Elephas maximus indicus: one gene and its partners. The protein of the gene in region 3 interacts with the protein of the main gene of each other region in a pairwise test. Links are inferred from orthologs where the notes say so. Each region holds a gene or a part of one and is shown on either strand. Other genes may lie near its edges.

The links.
Region 1: the proteins of DTX2 (region 3) and ALKBH4 interact in binary tests that used the Homo sapiens proteins (3 or more experiments, as listed by UniProt). The two-hybrid records come from large-scale screens. The link is inferred for Elephas maximus indicus from reciprocal best matches to the Homo sapiens genes DTX2 and ALKBH4.
Region 2: the proteins of DTX2 (region 3) and ARNT2 interact in binary tests that used the Homo sapiens proteins (3 or more experiments, as listed by UniProt). The link is inferred for Elephas maximus indicus from reciprocal best matches to the Homo sapiens genes DTX2 and ARNT2.

What each region holds. Positions count from the first base shown.
Region 1 is NC_064830.1:93,961,689-93,965,432, forward strand, and holds the start of ALKBH4 (alpha-ketoglutarate-dependent dioxygenase alkB homolog 4), read right to left. Parts: upstream 2,361-3,744; 5' UTR 2,327-2,360; coding exon 2,201-2,326; intron 1-2,200. Other genes in the region: LRWD1 (leucine-rich repeat and WD repeat-containing protein 1), read left to right, coding at 2,554-2,633, 3,216-3,450, 3,543-3,659. UniProt on the Homo sapiens protein: Dioxygenase that mediates demethylation of actin monomethylated at 'Lys-84' (K84me1), thereby acting as a regulator of actomyosin-processes.
Region 2 is NC_064831.1:70,470,548-70,474,291, reverse strand, and holds the start of ARNT2 (aryl hydrocarbon receptor nuclear translocator 2), read right to left. Parts: upstream 2,310-3,744; 5' UTR 2,217-2,309; coding exon 2,186-2,216; intron 1-2,185. UniProt on the Homo sapiens protein: Transcription factor that plays a role in the development of the hypothalamo-pituitary axis, postnatal brain growth, and visual and renal function. Specifically recognizes the xenobiotic response element (XRE).
Region 3 is NC_064830.1:94,111,006-94,114,749, reverse strand, and holds the start of DTX2 (probable E3 ubiquitin-protein ligase DTX2), read left to right. Parts: upstream 1-1,594; 5' UTR 1,595-1,729; intron 1,730-1,991; exon of another isoform or gene 1,992-2,121; intron 2,122-3,331; exon of another isoform or gene 3,332-3,416; intron 3,417-3,744. UniProt on the Homo sapiens protein: Regulator of Notch signaling, a signaling pathway involved in cell-cell communications that regulates a broad spectrum of cell-fate determinations.

The DNA of each region.
Region 1 (3,744 bases), about 150 kb from region 3:
AAATGTACATATAATTCTATATTCTGCTTTTTATTATAGCAAATGTTGTTCTTTTTATGAAATACACTTTATAATGTCTACAATGACTTAACCAAACTTGAGGTTAAGGGCACAGTCCTCCAGACTGCCAAGTCTGCCCAAGACTTCAGACACCAGCTGCAAATTCAGGGGTCCAGAAGGCCATCCTCCCTTCTGTCCAGCCTGCTGCCAATTCGGGGGTCCCCATGGATTCTCTCAGGTTCATATAAATTGCTAAGGCGACTCACAGACCCTCGGGAAGTGCTATACTTAAAATTACAGTTTTATTATAGCCAAAGGATACAGATCAGAACCAGCCTAAGAGACACATAGAGTGGAACCTGGAACCGGGAGAGTTCCAAAGGCGAACCTTTTGTGTTCTTAGGGATGAATTACTCTCTTCCGGCGACGATATGTGCCAGTACACGCAAGGAGTACTGCCAACCCAGGAAGCTCACCTGAGCTTGGTGTCCAGAGTTTTATTGGGGGCTTTATTATGTAGGCATGATTGATTAAATCATTCTGTATGTTGTTCAACTCAATCTCCAGCCCCCTCCTCTCCCCTGGAGGCTGAGCTGACATCACATAGCTCAAAGTCCCAACCTCTGATCACATGGTTGGTCTTTTCTTGTGTGGCCAGCCCCCATCCCGAGTCATCTCCTTATCATAAACTATCTAGGGGCCCACCATAAGTTCTTCTGGCTTTCTTGACTAACGTAAGAGTTAGAACCTAACGTAGTATTTGCTGGATTATATGTACCACTCAGTTTTAATCCTCAGGACAACCCCAGGAGGTAGGGACCATAGCTGCTCCTGCATGTGAGGCTCTGGCCAGAGCTTGCCCAGCTAGGACTGCAAAGCCCATCAAAGCTCCACCCTGGCCCTCTGTGGCCTCTCTTCTCTCCCTGCTCCCATCCCCAGGGCCCTACTGCTGGTCCTCCATTCTTCTCTCACTGTTCTCGCCCCCTGAAGCTTCACCTTCAGCCTCTGACTTCAGCTTAGATGTCTCCTGAGCTTTGGGCCACCATCTCCTGTCTCCTGGACCCCTCGCACTGGACATCTTGCTCTCCTCATCCAACAACCATCCAAGCTGGGATGGTGCCACCCCACAGTGCCCCATGTCTCCAGGCTTATGGCCACCAGCCTGAACTGTTTCAGGCCCCCAGCACTTCTACTGTGAACACCGCAGAGATTTCTCCACTGGCTTCCCAGCCTCCATACCTTCATACCATGCCTCTCAGTCTACCCCAGGAGCTTTTTAAAATTCACATCTGACCGTTTAGGAGCTCCCTGTGGACTTTAGGACACATCCACCCTGCTCAGTGGACACACAGGCGTCTCCGTCGGCAGGCTCCATTGCTTTTTCCAGCCTGAGCCTCACTCCACTCTCCAAGCACATGCACTTCCCCCAGGCCTTTGTCTAAGCAGCTCCAACATGGACCGTGCTTGCAGCCAACTAAAATATTTCCAGGCCACGTGGCGCAGTGGTTAAAGTGATCACTGCTAACCAAAAGGTCCGCAATTCAAAATCATCAGAGACTCCAGGGGAGAAAGATGAGGTAGTCTGCTTCCTAAAGATTTACACCTTTGGAAACCCTAAACCCACTTTCGCTATTGGTCAGAATCAACTCCACAGCAGTGGGTTAAGTTTTTGGTTAAATAGGAATTAATATTCTCCTTGAGTGGTTAAGCGTTGGCTGCTAACCAGGTCGCCAGTTCGAATCTGGCAGCCGCTCCTTGGAAACTCTATGGGGCAGTTCTACTCTGTCCTATAGGGTCGCTATGAGTCAGAATTGACTGAACAGCAACGATTTTTTTTTTCTTTTTGGACAATTTCGGTCCAAGTTGTTTGGGGCCCCTTTGCCCTGGCTTCCCCCACCCTCACTCTTTCTGTCTTCTCCCCAGGTCCCGTGAAGCTCAGCACCAGACAGGGAGGGGCTAGGTCGAGGTTTGCTGACACACTCCCCAAGGTCCCGGAGGTGAACTGTGATTGGACGACACCCCACGTGGAGGAGCCCCTTCTCTACACCCAAGACCACTCCTCAAAGCCCTCATCCCCTCACCCTGCAACGCCCCGGGCTCCTGACAGTCTGGTCCTGGCCCGTCTCGTGACTAATCTGGGCCTCAGTTTCCCCATATGTAGAATGGAGTTTGTGGGCGCGGTCCATGTCCCAGTCCTTACCTGCGGAGGGAGCTGCCAGGACAGGTCACCACCGCGCTGCCGCTCGCAGATCAGACAGGTCCTGATGCCCTTGCAGCCACATTCCTGAAGGACCTCTGGTGCCTCTGCCACCGTCGCCGCCGCCATAGCCCCGCCCGGGCAGCCAGGACGCAGGCGCGGGGCCGCGTGGGCCGCTGGGAGTTGTAGTCCTCACCGCTGGACACGTGGTCCGAGGGCCCGCTTCCTTCCGGTCTTCACCGCTGACGGGCTCGCGAGGCGCCGCCTTCTGGGCTTGCTCACCGCCGGGCGACAGTACCGGGCTTCTCGAACGCTGGAGCTGCCGTTGGTGGCGGCACGGGCCACGCCTTCTCGCCATGGGCCCCCTCTCGACGCGGCTGCTGATGCAGCGTGGCCGGCCCAAGAGCGATCGGCTTGGGAAGATCCGCAGCCTGGAGTAAGGGCTGGGCCGGGGGCGAGGTTGTGTCCGCGGGATCAGGGCCACACAGCCCGCCACCCAGGCTGTCTGGGCTGCCCGGGCCTGGGCTGCCGGGGGTCGGGAAGAAAGCCTGGGGCCCTCCCCGACTCCATGCCCATCCCGGTTAGCGCCTCTTCGGTTCGCCATCGCCCCATCGCCAGGTGCCTTCCTCTAGTGACACGGGGCCGAACCGCCACCCTACCCGTGTGCCCCCTGGGCCCCGAGTGGCCTTACTCCGGAAAAGTGCCCTGACTGCTAGGGTGACAGACAGTGTTGATATAACTGGGGTGGGGGGGCCGTGGGGAGCACAGGGAGCCCCCAGAGGATCAGGAAAACCATCCTGGAGGGGACTATGCTCGGCTGAGCCCTGAAGTATGGCAAGATTAAAAATAAGTAAATAAAAAGTGTGAGGGGTGGGGAGGAAGGGGTTGTGCATGTTCCAGAAATGTGAGGGGAGAAGGCCATCTGAGGCCAGGGGCAGCTGGAGGTGTAGGGTGGGAGGCATGCCGGCCCCCTGCTTGCCCCCTGAGCCTTCCACGTCTGCCTCCCTCCTCACCTCAGCCTGTCAGGGCTGAAGCTACGCTCTGAGCACTTGGACCCCAGTCTCCTGGGCCGCCTAAGGCAGCTGCAAGAGCTGGACTTGTCCAACAACCAGCTGGACACACTGCCTGCCAACCTGGGCCTGTCCCACCTGCGCATCCTCCGCTGTGCCAACAACCAGCTGGGGGACGTCACTTTCTTGTGCCAGTTCCCACAGCTCGAGGAGCTCAGCCTGGAGGGCAACCCCTTCCTGACGGTGAGTGCCTCCCCCAGGCCCCAGGCCCTGGGGCCAGGACTCTTCTGGGATCAGATGGGCAGCCTCTGAGCCATGGTTCCCTTATCTCCCAGGTCAGTGACAACCTGAAAGTCTCCTTTCTCCTGCCCAAGCTCCGTAAGGTCAATGGCAAAGAGGCTTCCGCAACTTTCTCTCAGGTGGAGAACCTGAACCGGGAGCTGACCAGCAGGGTAAGGGCAGTGTCTCTGGGAAGCTGGAGGCAGCATTGAGGAGGGAGTGCAGAATGAGACATTTGGAGGACACTGAGGGCTGCTG
Region 2 (3,744 bases), on a different chromosome or scaffold from region 3:
GTCTAAACCTTTTCACACAAAGAAGTTAGATTCAGATGGGGCAAGGACAGTATGTCCCACAGATGGATAAGAGAACAGGTGATCACCCCAAGAAATTTTCACAGCTGCAGACGGGGCACTTGAGAAATTCTCACCACACTCAAGATCCCTGGTTATCTCCACCAACAGAGAAATGACACAGAAGTCACTGTCTGCCAAGGAGGCCAGGTGTTTACAAACAATACCCGGGGCTTGCACCATTCAGGTCTCCCCTGGTCCAGACACCGGCATCCATGTGCTCAGCACCACCAGCTGGGCAGGTGGGCCTTATTTATTCTGTAGCTCACAAAACAATGTCACGGACAAAACAGCTTTAAACAGTGCTGTGATGGTATGTAAGTTATGTAAATTGCCCCTGTGTTTTCATTCCAATTTCCCATCTTAACCTATGTTAGAAATATCTTATTTAACATTTTCTGCTTTTTCTAATTTAACAGCTTTTAAATCGATCAGTTTGCTATTGATTTTTTTTTGCTATTGATTTTAAGGAGCTGAGCAGGTTGAAATTGTAGGCTTCCATTGCAAGCAAACTGGCCCAGCTGTGCTTTCCACCCAGCCCTGCTCCCACCCAGCCCTGCTCCCACCCAATGTTCTAGAGAGGGGACTCCTGGCCTGTTTGCCCAGGACTCCCTAATTTCTGTTTATGGAGCCTCTTTCCTTGGAGTTACACAGGCACCTCACCTCTGTGTCTCCATGGAAACCTCCCCTTTGTACCTCCTTTACCTCCTCCTCCTCCCTTACCCCAAATCTAATCAGCTGCCACATCTGAACTCCTTTACCTTTCTTTCCTCTCTGTTCCCAGCCACCGCAGCTAACTCGGACCTCCCCAGCACCTGTTCCATTTCAACCTGGCCTCTTCGCCTCCAGTCCTACCCCTCCTATGTATGGCTGACAAATTCATCTTCCAGAGGAACAATGATCACATGACTTCCTTGTTTAAAACCATTGAGGGTCTTCCCAGAAGTGGAGGGACAGAACCCATACTCCTGAGCCTGTCATTCGAAGTTCTCTGAAGCGTGGCCACATCCAAACAATTCCATGTACAATCAATCCCACTGCTCCCTTTGATAACCCCAGTGCACCAACGACTCACCGAACCCTAGGCATGCTCACAGCAAGTCACCATCACTTACGCTATCCCTCCTGCCTGCAATGCCCCTCAGCCCCCTGCTCTGTATATTCAAAATTTCCAATTCTTCAAGATCTCACTAAAATATCCAACCTCCAAAAAACCTTCGCTCACCACCTGGGCTGGAAAGGGTACTTCATTCCTAACTCTCTGATGACACTTGCTAGGCATTGTGACTGTCCTCCCACCACACCCCACCCCCAACAGACGACCTCCCTCTCCTAGGAATTCCCCACAACTGACAACTGGCCTCTGACTCCCTGCTTCCAGCCCATACCCACAGCAGTCAGTGCACAACACCCAAAACTTTGCGACAGCCAGCCTAGCTGTCCCCTTTTTGCCCTCCTTCCACTTTCAAAAACTACCGAAATGAGCACAGATGTCACAGTTCAGCCCCAGATGACAGAGAATGTGACTTGGGCAGGACTGGGGATGCCCCACGCTGTTATCACAGGTTGTACGAACTAATGACTATGATACACACCCGCCAGTTGCCAAAGGGGCAAAGGACCAGCGCTCGATGGCCAGGCGGGCAGGGGAAAATCTGGGGGCCGGAGTTCTACCCTGTTGAATCCTAACTCCAAACTTTTCCCTCCGTCAGTGTGGCACCCTTCTACCCTCCAAGACCCACTGACGCGGAGATGCCACAGGGGCTGGGACCGGAAGAGAAAAATGCGCGGAATGGAGAAGGCAAATATGGTTTTATCGGAGCTTGAGTGGATCCAGGACCGGTCCTTCTGGCTGCCGGGGCTGCAGAATCCGAAGTCCTGCTGCCCGCGAATCCAGGCAGGCGCATCCTGGGGTCTGGGATGGGGCAGAGAGAGGGATATAGATGCTGCGCTCTTGCTGGTGCTGATGTTGAGGCAGCTGCGCGGAGTGACAGCCGCTCCCCCACCCTACCCCGGGACTGAGCGCCCAGCTCCCGGGCCGGAGGACGCCCGCCGCGCCTGGCCCGCGCCGACCCCGGGGCAGGGCCTGCGGGCAGCGGCCGAACGGCCGGGCCGCGCCGTTACTCACCCGGAGGGTTGACTGCCGCCGGGGTTGCCATCTTGCCGGGGAAGGATGGGCGCGCGCCGGCGGGAAGCGGGAGGGGCGCGCGGAGCCGAGCGCCCCCCGGGGCCAGGCGCGGCCGGCGCAGGCCCAGGCGCCGCCGCCGCCGCTGCCGCCGCTGCCGCCGCCACACAAAGGACGGCGCGGGCGGTCGCTGCCTCCGCGCTCTCACCGCCGCCGCCGCCGCCGCCGCCGTTCGCCGCCCCGCCTTTATCTCCTCCTCCTCCTGCTCCTCGGCCTCCTCCTCCGGGTTCAGCCTTTGTCGCGCGGCTGGGGGCGCGCAGTCCGCGCCGCTCGGAAGCCCGGCCCGTGGCTCCCCCGTCCGAGCCGTAGCACCGCGAGACTTGGGGCTGCGGGCGGCTGGACCCCCGAAGTTTGGAGGCTCTGGCTGGAGGGGTGCCCCTGCGGGCGGGGGGAAGCAGGCGGGCGTCCGCCCCCTCGGGCCCGCGTAGGTGCTTGGGCCTGCCCAGGCTGGGGCCTTCAGGCGCACCCCCTCCCGTGCCGCCTTAGTTTGCCCCCCACACCCACATCCCAAATGTCCGGGGGCGCATCATCGAGGGGCGCCGTCCCCAGCCTTGTGGGCCAGGGCGGAGCGGGTGGGGCCGAAGTCCATTAAGATTCAAGAGGGAAACGGGGTCCTTGGAGATGGCCGCAAGAAACAAAGGCGTTCCAGTGCTGCCCACTTAGCATGCCAGGGCCGCGCAACTAGGCTCCTCGGGGCAGAGACCCAGTCCCCGGTGCTGAAGGAAGGACGTCCAGAAATTCCTAAGGTCCCCCACACCTCCAAGGCCACCGCAACACAAAGCTTCAAGGTGCACTCAGTAAACACGTCCAGGCAGAGGCCGCTGGGCCCAAGCTCGGCTACCTTCTCGCCATGGTGATTGTCGTTGGTTATTATCTGAGGTTGCTGCAAGAGCCTTATTTACAATTTTAAGTTGATCATTTAAAATGCTTTTTTTCTGATGCTTTGATTTGCATATCCTGGTAGAGCTGGGCTGCCCAGAGCTTGGAGGGGTTGTTTTCTACCACACAGTAAGATCTGTGTGAAAGGTCATGACTTTTAGGTAGAAAACATCACCATAGTGGTGAATCCATAAACAGATGGATATCATGAAGAGCCTATTAGTCAGATCAATAGTGACAAATACTTCCTGAAGAAAATTCTTATTTGAAAATACACCCCAAGCATTGTTTCTCCACCCCACCATTAGCCCCCACAGTTGGCTGATACAGAAACTGAGGCTCAGGGTAGAGAAGTGCCTTTCCCAAGGTCATATGGTTCAACAGCAGGAGAAGACTTAGAACCGGGTCACCCACATGCTGGGATTTGGTGGCCCAGGGAGGTAGAGTGGGATCGGGTGAGAAGGGATAGAAGAATGGGTAATTGGGGGCCTTGCCTTCTCTCTTATCTCTGGGCGTTAAATAGTTTAAATACCCAGAAACATCGATTGTGTGTGAAAGCCTCCACCCTTAAGTAAACAGTCTGAAATGGAGTGGTTATTCATTGCTGAGTACAGAGCAGCATT
Region 3 (3,744 bases):
GCTCTGCTAGTTGCCAACTGTATGATCTTAGAGACACTACTTAAGCCCTGTGCCTCGGTACTGTAGTCTTTATAATGGACGATAATGATAGTACCTACTTCATTGAGAGGATTCAATGAGGTGATGCATGCCACGTACATACTAAGTACTTTAGAAATGTTATAGATGGTTACAGTTGAGAGAACTGAGGCTCTCCAAGGGGAAGTGAGAAGTTTTCGTCCTAATATAGACACTGCAGGTACCTAGTATAAATCACAGGTAGAGTGCCACCCTCCATTTTTCCATGAATTATGCTCTGAGAGTAATTGTGTAAATCTGACATTGGGGCCTCCCCAGACCCAAGGTCTGTGTCCTCTAAGGCAGCTCTCAGGCTGTAAAAGGTCCTGGCCTAGGAACCAGAGACTGGGGCTGCTGCAGATTCTTTCTTCACTAACCTTGGGCAGGCTACTCCCCCCTTCTGGGCTTCAGTTTCCTCTTTTATAAAATGAAGCTTTTAAGCTGAATGAGAGGCAAGGTTTCTTCCTCCTTCTCCAGCAGTCTGAATCTGTGTTAAATTCCTGATAAGGTAGGAGTACATTAGGTCATGTAAAGATACTTAACTGCATGTAGCCAGCCCAAGATTCCAAAGACCCTGCGTTTCCTGAAAGGGCTTGCGAAATGGTCTATGGATGTAAACATTCACATTTGAGCTTTTTTCTGAGAGTCGCTTTCTTTAGTTTTTCAAAGGAGGTGTGTGATCTCAAGAGATTAAGCCACCAGCCTGGTTTCAGGCCTTATTATCTTCTGTCAGGACTATGGCAATAGCCTCTGGTCTCCCCACCTCCTTTCTCCTCCTCGCCAATAGATCCTCCGCTTACCACACAGGGCATCTTTCTAAACTGCACTGCTGACCCTTTCATTCCCGATTAAATATTTCCATTGGCTCCAGTTGCCCAAATTCCTTGCATGACTTTTAAAGTCCATCATGATCTTACTCAGCCCTCTCTCCATATTCATAGCCTGCCACACTTAACCCATTGTCTCCTTCCTCCCCCTCCTCTCCAGCCCTCTGCTTTTACCTTAGGGCCACAGGGAACTTTGAAACTTTTCACTGGTTCCTGAATGTGTCAAGAACTTTCATATCTCTCTTCCTTTGCACATCAAAATCCACCTACTTCAAAATCCACCTCAGAGGTCATCTCCTTTGTGAATCTTCGTGACTACCAACCCCCACCCAAAGTTAGGCACACCTCTTTCTGGCTTCCACTTCTTTATCACAGCATTTATCGCCCTAGATTGTAGTTGTGTGTTTAAGTGTCTGTCTCTCCAACAAGATAGGAAGTTCTCCCAGGAGAGAAACGAACTTTGACCATTTAACCTCCAATATTTTTTTTTTAGTCAGCACAGGGCCTGGCATCATATAGTACTGGTAAAAAACAAAACAAATTCTTTCGAACGAGTCAGTGAATTAAAGAAGTCACAAGTGAATAGGTGAAGAGTGAGTTTAGACCTGCACAGGTGCGAATTGCTTTCATCCCTGTGCCCGCTGTCCCGCCGGAACTACATTTCCCAGAAGACCGCGCGTCGTGGGCATGCGTACAGAGCGCTCGGAAGCTGCGACGCCGAGTTTCACTCTAGCTGTCTCCTCAGAGTCGGATCCTTAACTGGAGTGCTGCCCAGGTGAAGCCGGAGTCCCAGCGCGAGCGCCAGCGTTCCCCTCAACCTGTCCTCCTCTCCCGCCTCAGCTTTGGTGAGAGGGACGGGCAGGTCGTCTGCCCGTCGCCTGGGTTGGGGTCCCAGGGGCGGGGGGAGACTGAGCCGAGCTGGGACCGGAAGGGGGAGGCGTGGGAGTGAGGAAGGGCTGTGCTGGGGTCCCGGAGCCCTGGGGGTGAGGGTCTGGGGCTGGGAGGACTGGCCTCCGGGCTGGGGGTCCCAGAGGCGGAAGTTGGGGGAACTGGGAGGCGCTAGGGGCTTAGGACAGGACTGGGTGCCGGGGAGGAGGGTGAACGCTTAGTTAGAAGCTGAAAGGCTGCAGGGGGAGGGGCACAGACCCTAAGAGTTGGAGTCCGTCGGGAGACGTGCGCCCTTTTCCGCTAGGACCTGGAGGAGGTGGTGGCATTGCCACCGGGCTACCTGATTAGGGTATGAGGTCTGCCGCCAGGTGAAGGACTAACTGGGACCCGGGGTTGTGCTTTGGAAGACTTTACTTCGTAACTCAGTTTCCCTCCTCTCAAGTGGGGTTCTCTTTCCCGGAAGCTGTTTCCTGGTCGCTTTTGGGTGATCTGTAAACTATGCTGAAGAGGATTTAAAAGACTCTTCCTTTTTCTGGAGCTATTCTTTTTCATCCTTCCTTTCTCTGTCTGCTGCTGCCTTCCACACAGGTTCCACTTCCCTTAGCGCCCACAGCTGTAGACATAGGGTGTGTACAGACTCTTGGACCATGAATTAAAAGAAAACTCAAAATATTTCTGCATGCTATCCTAGCCCCTCTAGAATTCTGGAAAGTAGAATTTCTGGTAGCCAAAATCAGGCCTTACTTGAGCCATCAGGTTAAGTAAGCCTCTTATTCATTTGCTTTGTGACCATGGCCAAACTTTTACCATCTGGTGTGTTGACTTCCTGGATGTCTGCACTGTAGACGGGGTTATGAAATCCTTTTAGGCCTTCTAAGCAAGGGCTGGAAACCCTGGTGGCGTAGTGGTTAAAAGCTACGCCTGCTAACCAAAAGGTCTGCAGTTTGAATCTACCAGGTGCTCCTTGGAAACTCTGTAAGGCAGTTCTACTCTGTCCTGTAGGTAGGGTCGCTATGAATCGGAATCAACTCGACGGCAGTGGGTTTGGTCCTCGTTTATTCAAGGGCTCAGAAACCCTGGTGGTGTAGTGGTTAAGAGCTACGGCTGCTAACCAAAAAGTCATCAGTTTGAGTTCACCAGGCACTCCTTGGAAACTATGGGGCAGTTCTCCTCTGTTGTGTAGGGTCGCTGTGAGTTGGAATCGACTCGATGGCAACAGTTTTTTTTTTTTTTTTTTTGGTTGGATACAAGCAGGTATAAAAGCGTGTGTGTGTGTGTGTGTGTATTGAACTATGCCCTTGACTGTTGAGTGGGTGGAGGGAGACTACTGTACCTTCTTGCTCTGCCCAGGCTGAGTTGGGAAATCTGATGGTTTGTCCTTTTCCCGAGCTGCAGCACACGGATCCAGCATCTGTGCGTTCGTTTTCACTAACTGCTGTTTCTCAATTTAAAACCTGATCTCTCCTTTCTTACCGGCAAAGGTGCCTTGGAATGTGTGTCGCAGAGTCAGCAAGCCTTTCACATTTGCCTGTTTTTTGTTGTTTGCTTTTTATATCAAGATGGGAACTCAAACAAGTTATTCCTGCTAACGATCTGGTGTCTCCATCAAGAAGGGAGTTTGTGCCAGCTCTCCTTAGAGAAAAGGTGAGAGCCATGGCGACTTCATTTTGCTGCCTTCACAATTTCATTTTCAACAGAGAAGGTAGGGACTGAAGAGGGTGGAATTTGAGGGCTCCAGGATGAAAAGTGAGCCTTGGGAAGTTGATTGTTGATTGCCAGCTGACTCAGATAAATTAAAGTGGCTTCTTGCTAATTGCTTCTCCAGTTTAGCCAGTCTTAGAGGATGCTTTCCACATGATTTCCACTTTAAGACATACTTAATGGGATGAAGGACGGAATCACGATTTCTATATTTGAACTGGAAAATTTTCTTTGTCACATAACCTTTAGTGGGTGCCTCCTTTCTATCAAG